Linked DNA regions of Macaca fascicularis. The protein of the gene in region 1 purifies or fractionates together with the protein of each later gene. This does not show direct contact. Links are inferred from orthologs where the notes say so. Each region holds a gene or a part of one and is shown on either strand. Other genes may lie near its edges.

Region 1 (3,745 bases):
AATGACTAAAGCCAGCAGTTATTGAGAAATAAGTGACAGCAACTGTACTAAACATTTTACACGCATTCTCTCATTGAAACCCCACAACAATCCTGTGATTATCAGTCCTATTTTACAGATGAAGAAATTGAGGCTGGGTGAGCCCAGGCCCATGGCAAATAAGTGGCAGGGCCTGAATCCAAACCCGGAGAGTCTGTCTCCAAAGCCTGAGCTTAACCTTGAAGCAATCTGCTTCCTTCATGGGCACCAGGTATGGAATAAATTCCTAACTCCTTGGGAAGGCATTCAAGGCCTTTCCCAGTCTGGTCCCAACTATTTTTGGAAACTCTCCTCTGTCTTTCCTCCCATCACTGTGCAGTCCACACCACTCAGTTCCCAACACAGTGTCCCTCTACTCTTCAGTACCTTTGTTCATGTCCTTCCCTCAAATCCTGTCTCTTGTTCCACATGCCCTATCAAACTGTTTTTCTTTTGAGACAGGGTCTTGTTCTGTCACTCAGGCTGGAGTACAGTGGCACATTCATGGCTTATTGCAGCCTCAACTTTCTGGGCTCAAATGATCCTCCTACCTCAGCCCCAAGCAGCTGGGACCACAGGCGTGGGATACCACACCTGGCTAATTTTTTTTTTTTTTTTTTTTTTTTTAGAGATGGAGTCTCACTATGCTGCCCAGGCTGGTCTCAAACTCCAGGCCTCAAACGATCCTCTCACCTCGGACTACCAAAGTGCTGGGATTACACGCAGGAGCCACTATGCCTGGCCACCTGTCAAACTTTCTACACAGCATTCTTCAAGGTTCTGTTCAAATGTCACCTTCAGGCCAGGTGCAGTGGCTCACACTTTGGGAGGCCGAGGCGGGGAGATCATTTGAGATCAGGAGTTTGAGACCAGTCTGCCCAACACGGTGAAACCCTGTCTCTACTAAAAATACAAAAATTAGCCAGTGTGGTGGCCGACGCCTGTAGTCCTAGCTACTCAGGAGACTGAGGCAGGAGAATCGCTTGCACCTGGGAGGTGGAGTTTGCAGTGAGCTGAAACTGCACCACTGCACTCCAGGCTGGGCGACAGAGACTCTGTCTCAAAAAAAAAAAAAAAAAAAGTCACCTTCCGTGCTCATACTGTCTTCCCCAAGCCCCTTCTCCTTACCTACATTACTCTGTATGGCTAGTAAGTTCAGCATCTTTCATCGTTATTGCACCTTATAATTATTAGCATGCACACCTGTCCGGCACTCTGATTAAAACGTTCTTTGGAGGCAGGGCCTGATCTTACTCTTTAATTTCATAAATGTGGCACAATACCTCACAAATAACTGTTGATGCGTGAAATGTTGATCCTTTAAAAAAGAACATTATTCCCAGAATATAAAATAAAATCGAAAACCTCATAATCTCAAAGGGTCCTCCTTTAGCCAATCCTGCCTGCAGTTCAATGACGTCCAGGGCCGACAACAGAAAATGAGGAAGTCTTAGGATTTTGTTTCTTTTTTTTTTTTTTTTTTTTTTTTTACTATTTTACTTTTGAAATCTTGAGGAGGGAACTAAGCCCGAGAAAACTGAAGTGACTTGCCCAGGACGGCACCTCTTACCTAGCCTGGGGCCGGACAGGTCTGGACCCTGGTCTACCCCGCAGGCAATACTAGGGCAGCGCCTTTCCACGAAACGGGCAGAGCCCGCGTACCCAGACCCCAGTCCCCGGGCCACGCCCTGCGCGGTCCTCCTGCCACCTCACCCTAGGCCGTCTTCCCCAATCTCGGTCGAGCTTGGGCGACGGGAGGGGCTGGGTGGGGCTCCCCCCTACCGCGGCCCCAGCTAGGGCGGGAGGCCTCGGAGGTCCTCTCCGCCGCCTCGGACCCCGAGGGGGCGAGCACCAGGGGCCTCCCCGCCCGCCGACCCACCCGGGCGGCTCTTCCGGGTCCGAGCTGCCGGCAGCCGCCCTGCCCCACCCGCCCGGCCGAGCCCCCAAGGAAATCGCGCCTCGTCTGCAGTTAGCTCGGCCCCGAAGCCCCGCGCCGCAGAGCCCCGCACTCACAGCCATAGTGCGGCCGGGCCACGCCTAGCCCGTCAACCTCGTCTGCGGCGGACATGGCGGCCGAGCCCGGGTCTCCGCTGAAGAAGCCGTGAAACCTTGGAGGCGCGGACAGCGGCAGCTGCAGCTCCTGCCAAGTGCGCGGGCTTGCCCGGGTCCCCGAGGCCCCGCCCATGCCGTCAACCCCACCCCGCAGGCCCAGGCCCAGCGGGACCGCCCGAGCGACACCGCCCTGCCGCACCGCCCAGAGCGGCCGGAAAGAGGCGGGGCTAGCGTCACCATACCCCGCCCCCAACTCCGCCCCCTCAGCCCGGCCCCGCTCTGCATCCCGCTACCGTCTCCGTAGGCGGAAGGAAGAAGGTAGAGCCCATCCTCCAATCGGGCTCACGCTGAGCTTGCCCTGCCGGGAATGCCCGCCCAGGTTCATAGCCCCGCCCCCAGGGCCACCGCCCTATCCGCAACTCTAATCGAAAAACTGCGGGTGTCTGCTGCCTGAAATCAAAGTAGTGGGTCATCTCCCTTCTCTTGCCGGCCCAGCTAACCTCTGCACCAATACTCGGAGAAGGTGGCCCAGGGTATCTTGTCGGACACAAGCAGGCTCCAAACTGCCATAAAAGCCCTCCAACCCCACTCTCCGCAGTTTGGCAACCTGGCCTCAGTAATCTTAGATTCGGCAGCAGTCACCAGATTACCCAGGTATTTGAGATGCAGATGCTAAAGCGGAACTCTGTCCAAACTCCCTACCTTTAGATCCCTTGACATTGTTCTTTGCAAGTTCTTTTCTAAAGAACTCTTTTCCCTTACCAGGGATGCCTCTGCCCCCTGCACCTTGTGGCTTGCCCTTCAGATATTGGTATTCAACGGTATTATGAGCGCAGCCCTCTTCTGTTTTTTCTTTTTTCTTTTTCTTATTTATTTATTTATTTATTTGAGACGGAGTCTTGCTCTGTCGCTCAGGCTGGAGTGCAGTGGCGTGATCTCGGTTCACTGCAACCTCTGCCTCCCGGGTTCAAGCGACTCTCCTGCCTCAGCTTCCCAAGTAGCTGGGATTACAGGCGCCCGTCACCACGCCCAGCTACTTTTTTAATATTTTTAGTAGAGACGGGGTTTCACCATGTTGGTCAGGCTGGTCTTGAACTCCTGACCTCAGGTAGTCCACCCGCCTCGGCCTCCCAAAGTGCTGGGATTAGAGGTGTGAGCCACCGCGCCCGGCCCTCTTCCGTTTATTCTTTGCCCACTCAGTAACCTTTTCTACACTCGCCTATAACTGCTGAGGACCCCTCAATATGTATCACCAGACCAGATCATCTGGAAGTCCCTTGGTATTTTCAGCTAATGAACACTTTCACCTGTGTATAGCGCAGACACTTCAAATCCCACGTGTCAAATACTGACCCTGCTCCTGCTATATTCTCCATTCATAGAAGTACTCAATTCCCACTGGGAATACCCCAGGCTCCTTTCCTCACGCCCTACATCCAATCTGTGTTTATTTCTGAGGTGTCTACTTTTGTCTCCGTCTCCGTTGTGATTACGCTGTAGTCTCCCTTCTGCCAACCAGATCCTCACAGTTACCACGGTGTTCTCTCTAGAGTGCAAATGCAATTGTGTTTCTCTTTTTAATTTTTTTTTTTATTACTCCCTTCAAGATAATGGGCCAAGTTCAGCATGATTTAGCATGCCAAATCATAGCCTGACTCCAGATGTTTTGCTCCAG
Region 2 (3,745 bases), on another chromosome or scaffold:
TGAAGTCCTGAGATCCACCTCATTCTTTGTTACCAACATTCAACTTCTGAAAACTAAAAACCCGAATTGTTCCAAGGGTCCCCTCACCATCACTCTTGGGGTTCCCCAGGACCTTGAGCACCTCGGCGTTGGTGGGGTTCTGGCCCAGGGCCCTCATCACGTCCCCACACTGGCTGTACAGGATCTTGCCATCCCCCACTCGGTCAAACAGCTCGAAGGCCTCCTTGAACTCTAAGGTATAAGGAAGGGTCAGTGTAGACACTGACTAGGGGTTCCCATCACCCCCAGACAGAAGGGAATTTCAGAAACTATGTGAACAGAACAAGGGAGGAAAAGAGGACTAGTATGGGAGGTTTCAAGGTCGGGACTGGGGTTAGGGGAATAGAAAGAGAATCTGACCAGGGGATTGGGGACTGGACAGTGGGCTTAGACCAGCTTCTCCTCACCCTCCAGCTGGTCCTTGTTAAACTCGATCTGTGGAAGAAAAAAGCAGGTGGGGAGAGATGACAGTTTATTCAGTCCCTCTCCAGCACTCTTCCCAACCAACTGGCAGCCACTTCTGAGGAGGGGCCCAAAGGGACCAGGCTGGAAGCCCAGCCACCTCAGTCCCATTCCCAGCTCTGGGCCTTGGGAGAATCCCAAGAAGAGGAATTACAGTGGGGAGGGTTTCCTGGGAACAGGGTTAATCCCATGCCACCTGTTTCCCTCCCTCCATTGCCCTGAGCCCTGCATCCCTCACATAACTGGGGGCTGAACAAAGGCTAAATTTACCCCTGGCCCCCAGCTGTGATTGTCTAACAAGTCTGTCCTCTTCAGCCTCCCTTCCTGGAGTTCAGAGCTGCAGGCCTTTTGAGTTGAATCACCAGCCAGGGGCAGGCAACAGCTCTTTTCCCTTCACCTTGAAACTGTCCTCAGAACCCAGATGTTCCCCATCTAAGAGTCCCTGCCTCCAGCAGGGGGTAAGTGAGTGTGCATGTGCTGTACACACATGGTTATAGGTTAGAGGGAGAGAACAGCAAAGACAACAGCAGAGTCATAAGCCTGGATGCTTGCAAATGGGGGACTAAGGGAAAGCCCCAATCTCATTCCAGGGTTCATTGATTCCCTACCTTCTAGATACCCCCTAATCCCCTAGGCTGTATCTCACCCTCAAACCACCCCCTCCAATTATCTTCACTTTCCAGAGACTCACCACCACTTTGGAGAGATCGATTGGAGGCTCCTGGGTTTTCTGAGGGGCCTGGGGGACAGCTGGCTCAGCTTTGCTCTTGGCTGGAGGAGCCCCTGCTGCTGCTGCTGGCTTAGCAGCAGGTTTGGAGATGGAGGGCCCTGCTGGTTTCTTCACGGGAACATCCTTCTTGGGAGGCATGATGTCCGGTGGCCAAAGGACAGTGTGCGGATGGGGGCACCCATCTCTGTTTAAATAGCCAGGGAGTCTGGGATGTCAAGGGGCGGGGGCAGGGGCAGGGAGCCAGTTGGCTGTGGCGAGGATGAGGTAGAGGAGAGATATAACCGTCTGCCCTCACTCCCTTGGCCTCCTATGGTTCAGGACTCCTGCCCCAAGGTCTTCTTCCCTCTGTCCCCTCATCCCCAAAGGCTGTCCAGAAAAGAACAATGTTTCCTTTGAGGGTAGGGGAGGAAGCCAGGGACTGCCCAGAATGAGAGGTAGTTAACCTCCAGGGTGAGGATAGGATGCTTGCACTGAGATGGGGGTGGTGAGGCAAAGCAGGTGATCCAGCAGCTTTAGTCTTCTCGAAGGGTGGGGTGAGGGGTAGCAGTCAGGGAGGCTTGTGTGAACTGGAACAAGTTAAAGTGTGGTCTGGGAGCAATGACAAAAACAAGCAGCCCATCTGCCCAGCCCCTCCACTCCTTTCTGACCATGGCTTTGTAAAGAGCAGGGGTAGTTAACCCTACAGTCTAATAATCCCTAATACTTGTAGTTCCTGAGCCCGCACCCAGCCAAGAATTGAAACTATTCACAGTATAAAGGAAGAATAGTCATAGAAACAGGAGTGTGACATCCCTCATTGTCTCCTAGTGCGCAGTGTTGTTTTAGGGGAAGGAGTGGGGGCAAAGATCAGGTTTAACATCTGCTACCCATTCTTCCATGGAAGGAACCTTCTCCACAAGACCACTGTCATTCAACACAAACAAAAGGTAGGGCGCTTGCTGAACCTGTGGGGACCCTGTGGTGGCACCCGAGAAGGGCGGGCTCTGGGAGAAGGCTTAAATTCCCTAATCCAAGAGGATGTGGGCACTCCTATGGCCTCCATGAGTATTCATCCCACTACCAGGGGTATAATAAAAATCCCGACTCAGGGGCCAGGTCACAAACCTTGCCGGGGGCACTGGGAGAGAGTCCAAGTTGGGGGGTGTTTGGGAGTGGGGAGGGGTTGCGGCCTACTTTTGTTCTGGGGGAAATTAGGAAAGGATTTAGGTAGCATTCTGAGGAAGATAGCAGTGACTCCACTTAGGCCCCGGGGTTGATGCTGGGTCTCCCATTCGCAAAACAGTGTCTGAATCTCATTACTGCAAACTGTCCCATTTTTACAAAATACATCACACACAGACACACACACACACACACACACACACACTCTCACACACCCCACTAAACCTTAAAGAAAGCGGCCCTCCTCAGCCCCCCAAAACTCACCCTGCGGGGTCCGCGTCTGTGGCTGGCGAGGGGGCGGTGCACAGCGCGGCCCCCCAGCCCTGAAGGGTTAATTCCGACGGCCGCGGAGCATGCCGGGAGTCGTAGTCCCCAGTGGGCTCACGGGATACGCCGCGCTCTAGATTGCAGCTGAGGCTAGGGCGGTGGCTTCCGGCCCATGGCGGCGTTTGGTGACTCAGTGTCCTTCCATGTCCCGGAACTGAAAGGCAATGAACAATTTCCAATCCACCCCAACCCTAAAACCCTGCAGGGTCCCTAGGGTATCCCTCCTACTTAGCCCTGGCGGGCTCCTAGTCTCGGGAGGCGGTGGGGGCGGGGGGGCGGTGGGGAGCGGGGCAGGTGTTTTCCTGGACCTACTGCTGAAAGAACTCCGAACCAGGGGAAAGGTTGAGGCTGCAGCAGGCAGCGTGGAGGTCAGATAGCTGGAAGCACTTACGGCCCCAGGGAGAGCGGCTGCGCTCTTTTTCGCTTCCTCTTGGGTTTGGTAGGAAAAAAAGAGGCCTCAGAGTAGTTTGTTTTTAATGAACTGGTTGCTGAAGTAAATGTTAAAATTTGCAATTAAGCCCAGTCACCTGCCCCAGCCTTCTGATCGAGGTTTCCATCCTGCGGCCGCATATGCGCTATCCTCCCCGGTCTTCATAGGTTCCTGAGCGGAGGGCTGGGCTTTCCAGACCTACTTTCTGAGACACTTATGGTCAGCATTGGAGTTTACTGGTTCCCCTAGGCGTTGATCAGAGGATGGGAACCAGCCCGGCCGGGCCCACCTTCATTCACTGGATCAGTAAATACACTGGCGGTGCACCTGGTGTTGGAGGCTGGGGCTGCACTGGCGTGTGAGGATTCGGTCAGAGCAGAAAACTCGGGCGAGGGCAGGGTGGTGAGGCACAGGTGAACTTTATGGGCAGTAAGTAAGGTTCACTGGTTCGGGAAAGTTTATTGGAAAGGTAGAAATGAATTGTACGACAGAAATAACGATGATAGTAAGTTAGCAACCATTTCTGGAGGCCACCATAGATCTGGTACCGATGAAGGGGTTAAATTATCTCAGAGGGTGCTCAAGTGCATGGGGTT

The links. The genes of interacting proteins can lie anywhere in the genome.
Region 2: the proteins of IQGAP1 (region 1) and MYL6B purify together in Homo sapiens (affinity purification with mass spectrometry; 3 studies listed by BioGRID and IntAct, with this or other methods). This does not show direct contact. The link is inferred for Macaca fascicularis from reciprocal best matches to the Homo sapiens genes IQGAP1 and MYL6B.

What each region holds. Positions count from the first base shown.
Region 1 is NC_088381.1:74,924,336-74,928,080, reverse strand, and holds the start of IQGAP1 (ras GTPase-activating-like protein IQGAP1), read right to left. Parts: upstream 2,188-3,745; 5' UTR 2,087-2,187; coding exon 2,032-2,086; intron 1-2,031. UniProt on the Homo sapiens protein: Plays a crucial role in regulating the dynamics and assembly of the actin cytoskeleton.
Region 2 is NC_088385.1:62,940,017-62,943,761, reverse strand, and holds the start of MYL6B (myosin light chain 6B), read right to left. Parts: upstream 2,718-3,745; 5' UTR 2,657-2,717; intron 1,437-2,656; exon of another isoform or gene 1,416-1,436; 5' UTR 1,370-1,415; coding exon 1,193-1,369; intron 475-1,192; coding exon 447-474; intron 232-446; coding exon 88-231; intron 1-87. UniProt on the Homo sapiens protein: Regulatory light chain of myosin. Does not bind calcium.